Nothobranchius furzeri: one gene and its partner. The protein of the gene in region 2 purifies or fractionates together with the protein of the main gene of each other region. This does not show direct contact. Links are inferred from orthologs where the notes say so. Each region holds a gene or a part of one and is shown on either strand. Other genes may lie near its edges. The genes, in order: pstpip2 and ptpn12.

What was found.
Region 1: the proteins of ptpn12 (region 2) and pstpip2 purify together in Homo sapiens (affinity purification with mass spectrometry; 4 studies listed by BioGRID and IntAct, counting the BioPlex papers as one, with this or other methods). This does not show direct contact. The link is inferred for Nothobranchius furzeri from reciprocal best matches to the Homo sapiens genes PTPN12 and PSTPIP2.

What each region holds. Positions count from the first base shown.
Region 1 is NC_091746.1:59,933,000-59,936,825, forward strand, and holds part of pstpip2 (proline-serine-threonine phosphatase-interacting protein 2), read right to left. Parts: intron 1,995-3,826; coding exon 1,960-1,994; intron 1,875-1,959; coding exon 1,768-1,874; intron 1,679-1,767; coding exon 1,616-1,678; intron 1-1,615. UniProt on the Homo sapiens protein: Binds to F-actin. May be involved in regulation of the actin cytoskeleton.
Region 2 is NC_091741.1:48,550,547-48,554,372, forward strand, and holds part of ptpn12 (tyrosine-protein phosphatase non-receptor type 12), read right to left. Parts: intron 3,027-3,826; coding exon 2,918-3,026; intron 2,108-2,917; coding exon 2,031-2,107; intron 1,924-2,030; coding exon 1,828-1,923; intron 1-1,827. UniProt on the Homo sapiens protein: Dephosphorylates a range of proteins, and thereby regulates cellular signaling cascades. Dephosphorylates cellular tyrosine kinases, such as ERBB2 and PTK2B/PYK2, and thereby regulates signaling via ERBB2 and PTK2B/PYK2.

The DNA of each region.
Region 1 (3,826 bases), on a different chromosome or scaffold from region 2:
ATGCTGTAGTAAAACAAAAGGTATAATAATTTATTATTAATAAAACCTTGTTGCAGCACTAAAGCAGAAAAATGAGATTTTGCAGTAAATATGCAAAATATTTACATATGAATTGTTTTAGAGCCCTTTAATTGGCAGAATCTGATATTAATTTAGTTCTTACAAAAAATGGGTCCCAACATGGTTTGTGTGGCGTTGCCATAGTGTGACGTCATAGGCACAGATCCCCTGTCCTCTTGTTTGGAAATGGAAATATGATCACCCTACATTAAACAAACTGTCCACCCGGGCTTTTGCGCTGCACAGAGACGCTTCGCTGCCTATGACTAGACGTCAGTTGAGAGTCAGTCTCATGCAGACTGACCAATGAAGAGAGGGCCTCAAGTTAAGACCCTCTCCTCATTGGTCAGTCCACACGAGGTGGGTCAAAGGTTACTCTGGGCAGGTTACGTGTTGTCAGGCATTCAAGTATTGAGTATATTTACTGCATATTACAGTAAAATATTCTGTATGTGACCACATTATGGTGATCCTTGGGTTGTGATGATGGAGCCCTTGAATATTGTTGCCCAGGGTACAACAAAGTGTTAATCTGGCCCTGGTTCCGCCGTCACATTCCCGCAGAAACTGGTTGATCACACCGGGGCCAGACTACTAGCGTGTGGTTTTACAACCACAATGTCCTCAGAAGCAAAAACGCTTTTAAAAGGGAGGGAGGAGTCCTAACTGTTGCTGCAGGCGTGTTGTGTGAGAGTGCAGTTATATACTGGTTAATATATTTTTGGGTTCAGTTGCTTTCATGTGGCCTAATGTGAGTCTATTTGGGATCATTGGAATGATCAGCAGCATTTCTTGATGTGACTTTATGGCAGTTGCCCAGGGCATCATCGCAAGGAGGATGGCATTCATTTACTTTTGCTTTATTTGGTATTTTTTCAGTCAATTTTGGAAATAGTGATCAATTTTGATTAATTCACAGCCTATGTTTAATTACATTTAAAATAAATGTCAACAGATGAGATCAAACAAAACACATGAGAATTGCCCTTAAGCTGTTTAACTTGGACCAAGCATTTTAGGTCACAGATAGATGTAGCTTAGGGTCTCTGTCTATACACCTTATAAGACAATTTAGGTGATGGCATGTTGTTTTTCTGCTATTGAACTGTTTTCTAATAATGTTGTGTTAAATAAAGTGAAGGAAGGAGAGAAATAACGTTTCCCTAGCAGTTTTTAAAAATTTCCCCATGTAATCTGATTAATCGATTAATCGTGTCGAGACCCCATTCGATTAATCGATTATCCAAATAATCGTTTGTTGCAGCCCTAGTTAGGACTCATCACATGTATAAGAGGAAATTCATCCCCTATAATTACTTCTCCATTTTTCCATAGATTGAAATAATTGGAATGGCTTTTCTTGAGGATGTTTTGTTTCCTCTTGATCAAAACTGGTTCCTCTATCAAACAGGAAGAACGCGAGGGGAGGACATCATTTTCACATGTGACTGGAACTCTGCCAGCATGACTAAATAGTTGACCAACTTTGCTCAAATACTTCTGCTTTTGTTTTACTTCAAAAATGGTACATGATCAGGAAAACATCTCTACTTACATCCATTGTCCTCTTGAAGTGTGAAGACTTCTGTTTGTGGACAACATCCATCTGTTGTTCTATCTAAATAAAAAGACCACATCCTAGTGTCAAATATTCACATCACATGGGGTGAAATGACACATGACAGCACCTGTAAAAAATGTACAAACCTTTTTCCGTGCTTCTTTCTGTTTTTCTCTAAAGTCTTCCAGCTTCTTGGCCTCCTCCCTCATGCTGTGGGCCAACTGTAGATGCGTTAAACTCACTTGTTCAGTCTCTGAAGAGTAAAAATCTTTTAAATCTATAAATCTACATGAATTATATGCAGAAACAGGTGAATATAAAAAATGTTAGGAACTTACGCAACTTTAACACATCGAGGGATCTTTTTAATGTGCTAAAAACAACAAAAAAAGAGAAAAAATTATATATTTGTACTCAAGATAAAAAATAAAAATAAAGTATAGCCAGAGATCATAATTGGACATTATCAACATTGATTTATTAGTGGGAAAACCAAATATTGGATTTGTCTTTTTTATTATTTTGCAGTGAATTCTTTATTGCAAAGCAGCAACATCAATTTAATTAACTACTGATAAGGTCATTGTAGTGGGGGATTTTAACATTCATGTGGACAATGAAAATGATAGCCTCAAAGTAGCCTTTAGTAATATCTTAGACTCAATTGGTTTTACCCAAAGAATACATGGCTCCACCCACTCCTGCCATCATACATTAGACCTTGTACTGACTTATGGGATAGAGTGTGAGGAAATAACGATATTTCCACATAATCCAGTCCTCTCGGACCACTTTTTGACAACCTTTGAGTATTTTATAACTGAGTTCTCAAGACCGGCAAAGGGTGGCTTGCCAACTCCGGGTCGGGAGAGAGGTCCTACCTCAAGTGGAGGAGTTTAAGTATCTCGGGGTCTTGTTCACGAGTGAGGGTATGAGGGATCGGGAGATCGACAGGCAAATTGGTTGGGCGTCTGCAGTGATGTGGACGCTGAGCCGATCTGTTGTGGTGAAGAGGGAGCTGAGCCAGAAAGCCAGGCTCTTGGTCGATCTACGTCCCAATCCTCACCTATAGCCAAGAGCTTTGGGTAATGACCGAAAGAACGAGATTGCGAATACAAGCGGCCGAAATGAGTTTCCTCCGTAGGATGGCTGGGCTCAGCCTTCGCGATAGGGTGAGGAGCTCGGACATTAGGGAGGGACTCGGAGTAGAACCGCTGCTCCTCTGGATTGAAAGGAGTCAGTTGAGGTGGTTTGGGCATCTGGTCAGGATGCCTCCTGGACGCCTCCCTGGGGAGGTGTTTCGGGCATGTCCTGCCGGCAGGAGGCCCCCAGGTCGACCCAGGACACGTTGGAGAGGTTACATCTCCAATCCGGTCCGGGAACGCCTTGGGGTCCTGCCGAAGTAACTGGTGGAGGTGGCTGGGGAGAGGACGGTCTGGAGCTCCCTAGTTGGGATGCTGCCCCCGTGACCCGGACCTGGATAAGCGGAGGAAGACGACGACGATGACGAGTTCTCGAGACATGAAAGTAAATTTCACTATAGTCGGTCTCTATCTGACAACGCAGTTGCATCTTTTAAATCAACTGTTCCATCTTTACTGTCCTCAGCATCTCAGAGGAACGTAGCAGAGGGCAATATTTGTATCTCTAGCCCTTCACAAATTGATGCTTTAGTTCATAATGTTACTTTCTCTTTACGTGTGGCATTCGATGATGTTGCCCCTTTAAAAAAGAAGGCAATTAGGGACAGGAAGTTGGCTCCCTGGTTTAATTCTCATTTGCGAACTTTAAAACAAAACTTTAGAAAATTGGAGAGAACATGGCATTCTACACACCAGGAGGAGTCCTACCTATCCTGGAAAAATAGTCTTGTGCTTTATAAAAGTAAGCTTCTATAAAATTGAACTGCATATTTTTCAGCGCTAATTGAGGAGAATAAGAATAATCCAAAATTTCTTTTCAGTACAGTTGCCAAACTTGCACAGAATCATAGCTCTGAACCATCTATTCCCTTAGCCCTCATCAGCAATAACTTTATGGGATTTTTCACAAGTAAAATTAATTCTATTAGAAACAAAATCATTAGCATTCTCCCTAATGCAATTTCTTCTTCCTCAGTAAGTGAGGCAGCATCAGAGGTAACTGCAGAACCTCATCTGTGTTTGAACTGTTTTGATCCAGTTGAGCTTTCAGAGTTATCAAAAA
Region 2 (3,826 bases):
TAGAGAGGGAGGAGTGGATTATGGCGGTTATGAGAGGGAGAAGGGAGGTGAGACATGTTTTAACCAAAACTGTAGGGAGGGGGTCGAGAGAGCAGGTGGTGGGCTTGGATTTACAGATAATATCAGATATTTCGGATGAGGTGGGAAGAAGAAAGGAACAAAATGACTGGCCGGGTGAAAAAATCTCAGGGGGAGGGGAAGAACTTGGAATTAATTGCTGGTGTATGGATGCAATTTTCTGAATAAAGAAGGTTAATAAAGAGTTACATGAGTCAGCAGAATACAGGTGTGTGTGTGTGTGTGTGTGGGGGGGGGGGGGGTAGAGAGTCCGGGGGATGAAAAATATTGCGCATTATTGAGAACAGAGTCCTAGAGTTGCCTTCATTGGAGGAAACCAATCCAGAGTAGAAAGCAGATTTTGTATGTTTAATTGAGTCCAAGTATTGAAGCAGATGAGTTTTGTGCATTTCTTTGGGTACTGCAAGACCAGTTCGTTTATAGAGGCGTTCGAGTTGACGTCCTTTGGCTTTCATCTGTCGGAGTTCAGGGGTAAACCAGGGGGCAGAGTTAGTAAAGGAGACGGACAGAGTTTTGACAGAGGCAAGAAAATCCAAGATATTGTGGAGTGTGGAGTTATAATGAGAAACAAGATGGTCAGGAGAAGCAGAACTAGGGATGGATATAGTGTTAATAATAGATGACAGGGTGACTGGGTTAATGTTTTTGATATTGCGGAATGAGATGTGACGGATAGGCTTAGTTCTTAAAGAGCAGAGGGGGATGTTGAATGACAGAAAAAAGTGATTCTGATTATAATTAGTCACGCTTGAGTTTTGTGAAATGTGAAATTGTGAAAGTCTAGGATTTGAAAAGTCTGAAGGATCTATGTCACACTGTCACTTAACATTCATGGACTCACCCATCGTGACGGGGAAGGCCGTTTTTGGTTTTGCGCCCAGGAAACAGCAGAGAACGTCTCGGCTAGTACAACCTCCCAGTTAGCATTAGCAACTCCACCACATAGCAGAAACGCTCCAAGCATGTTTTATTTGTGGATATAAAACATCATCGTTGCAGAGCAAATGGAGCCGGGGGATAGGGTTACGCTGCTGTTATCCAATCAGAAGCGAGATGTCCAAATATCAGAGAATAAGACTTCAGATCCGGTCGTCTGAAGCTCAGCTCTGAAGTGGCTCAGTCTACTTCCTGAAAATGGTGCAGTAGGAGACCCATAGACCAAAATAGATTGGTGTGACTTAGGCTCCCTGTAGCTCCTTTTACAGTTTTACAACCCCCCAAGGTGCTTTACAACATAATCATTTACCCATTCACACGCTGATGGTGATAGCGACATCCTAGCCACTGCTAACCTGGGGCTCACTGACAGCTGACGCTGCCGTACACAGGCCCCACCGGTCCCTCCAACCACCACCAGCAGGCAAAGTGGGTGAAGTGGTGTGTTGCCCAAGGACACAACGACTGTGACTGGGCGGGACTCAAACCTGTAACCCTCCAGTTACGGGATGGGCACTTAACTCCTCTGCCACCATCACCACGTTTTTCTTTTCAAGCGATTCCAAAAAACTCGCAGAACTTTTCTTTTTCTATGTAATAATTATAAACGTAACTGTGTGTGTTACCAGCGTAGGTAGCTCTAACAGCACTCCCATTAATCTGTGCTATTAGCCAACTCTGCAATGAAACGAAATCTGACAGCTAAAAACAGACTTATCAATAAAACACCTTCATTGTAATTAACAGTGTTATATTCATGAACTATTTCCCAATAGATGTCAACTAGACTGTGTTGCATGGGGTCGTACTCACAGCTACGTTATACTCCCAGTTCATTCTCCAAAAGTCGAGGACCGTGTTTGGCAGCGGACCCTGAGTTGCAATGTAGGCATTTGGGCCATCCACACCCTGAACGCAACGACATAAAGCACTGTGACTGTTTTAAACTAGACATTTCAACATAATCGTGTACTTTACAAAAATTGAGAGAAAAAAACATATAATTTGATTGTTACCTTAATAAAGTTTGCATTTATGTAATCTGAGTCCTGATTGGTTAATTTTAATGTCAGCTTCACCCTGCTGTGGTCAACTGTGGAGAGAAAAACACAAAATTAATATCAGAATGAGATAAATGGGGAAACACAGAATGAGAGAATGTTAAAAGAGCAAACAGGGACATGATGATTGACTCAAGAGTTTAACGGAGAAACTGTTTTATCCTCATTCCTGGTCCATCTGTTATGGATGAGCCTGCTCCTACTTTTGATTTATCAGCCCATTCACTAAAAGCTTTAACGAATGAATGGATGGAAAGTGGAGAAAAGGATAGACATAAAACTAGGACAGATGTTGGGTCACATGAACATCCCCGAGGTTGTTGCGTACAGCAGAAACACAACACCGTGTTTATTCTGTTAACATTTACACAAACACAAATGATTAATGTATGAATTTGCAGTTATTTTTTCTCATCGTCCTCAAACTGTCAGGCCTCTTTCCACTTTTAGCTTTAATACCCCCCTCCACCACCTTGTTTTTTTTACAGTGTAGGTGCTGATATCACTTTAGATTAAACGTGGATTTGTGGAGTCAGGCAGTGACCTTTAAAGCTGAGCGGATAAATGCATGAAATTTTAAAGCTGCTACACTTGCAGGACACAAGGCTGAATGGAGATTAAATTGTGAAGCACTGCTCAGATCAAACCTGTGTACAAAATGTTACCGTCATCTAAAGACATGTGAGCAAAGGGAAAGATAAAAAGTCAAATAAAGCACAGCCTGCTGACACAACACCCAATGCACACAGCATGTTTGCTGCTGGAGGATCAGTCTGAAATGCAGACTGATGAGATTAACAGAAATGCTTTAAGAGCTTCAGTGGCGATGAACCAGATCTTACACGGCAGTATGTCTTTATATCTGTTCTTCTTGACATTCTCCTCCCTCTCTCCCACGTTGGTGGGGTAGATCTTCTCTGTCCGGTACTTGGTTGATAGCCGTCGTAACCGCTAAAAAACAAAACAAAAACATGTGGGGAGTTATTAGCAGATAATAACATCTGTTTGCATGTGTCAACACACAGCAGGGAAAACGCAAATGGTGGAACGGATTTGTGCATTCATTTTTCTTAGAAGTCAAAAGAATCAGACAACTCGGAAAAGAACAGACTCAACTTGTCAGACGAGTCCATTTATCAGCATCAAACTCTGCCACCTCTGATTAGTATCAGAGACCTTCTCCTCTTTAGTTAGGTTAAATAACAGATGAATAAAATCAGTCGTTTCTTCATCAAAAACGCAACAAACACGAGTCCAAGAAAACAAATGCTACTGATATCAAGGTATCGCTGACTCACAGACACACTCCTTTGATGTGTGACGCAGCCTAAAGTCTAGTGCAGCCAAATCTAATAGAGGCTGACACTGATGAAGACACATTCACTTAATGGGAGGAGAACAATTACATTGTCTCTTGGCTGACAGAAGGCAAAAGCTTAGCTGGCTGTTCTCAAACACAGCAGAGCTCAACCAGGCAGAGCACTTACATTTCCAATCAATCCATTTACTTACAAAGGTCCTTATTAATTATAAATGTGATTAAACTACTTTAGGTCAGGGGTCACGTTCAATTTTTGGCACAACTGCAAACAAACATTCACTCGAATGTTATGCAAATGTTCTTGTTACAGTCAGAGCGTTAATTATGCCCCACCCTTCATTTATTTGCCATCTGAACGACTCTCAGTTTCCTGATTTGTGAAAACCAGATAAAGAAAGGCCAGAGAGAACATCACGGTCGCTTCTGTACA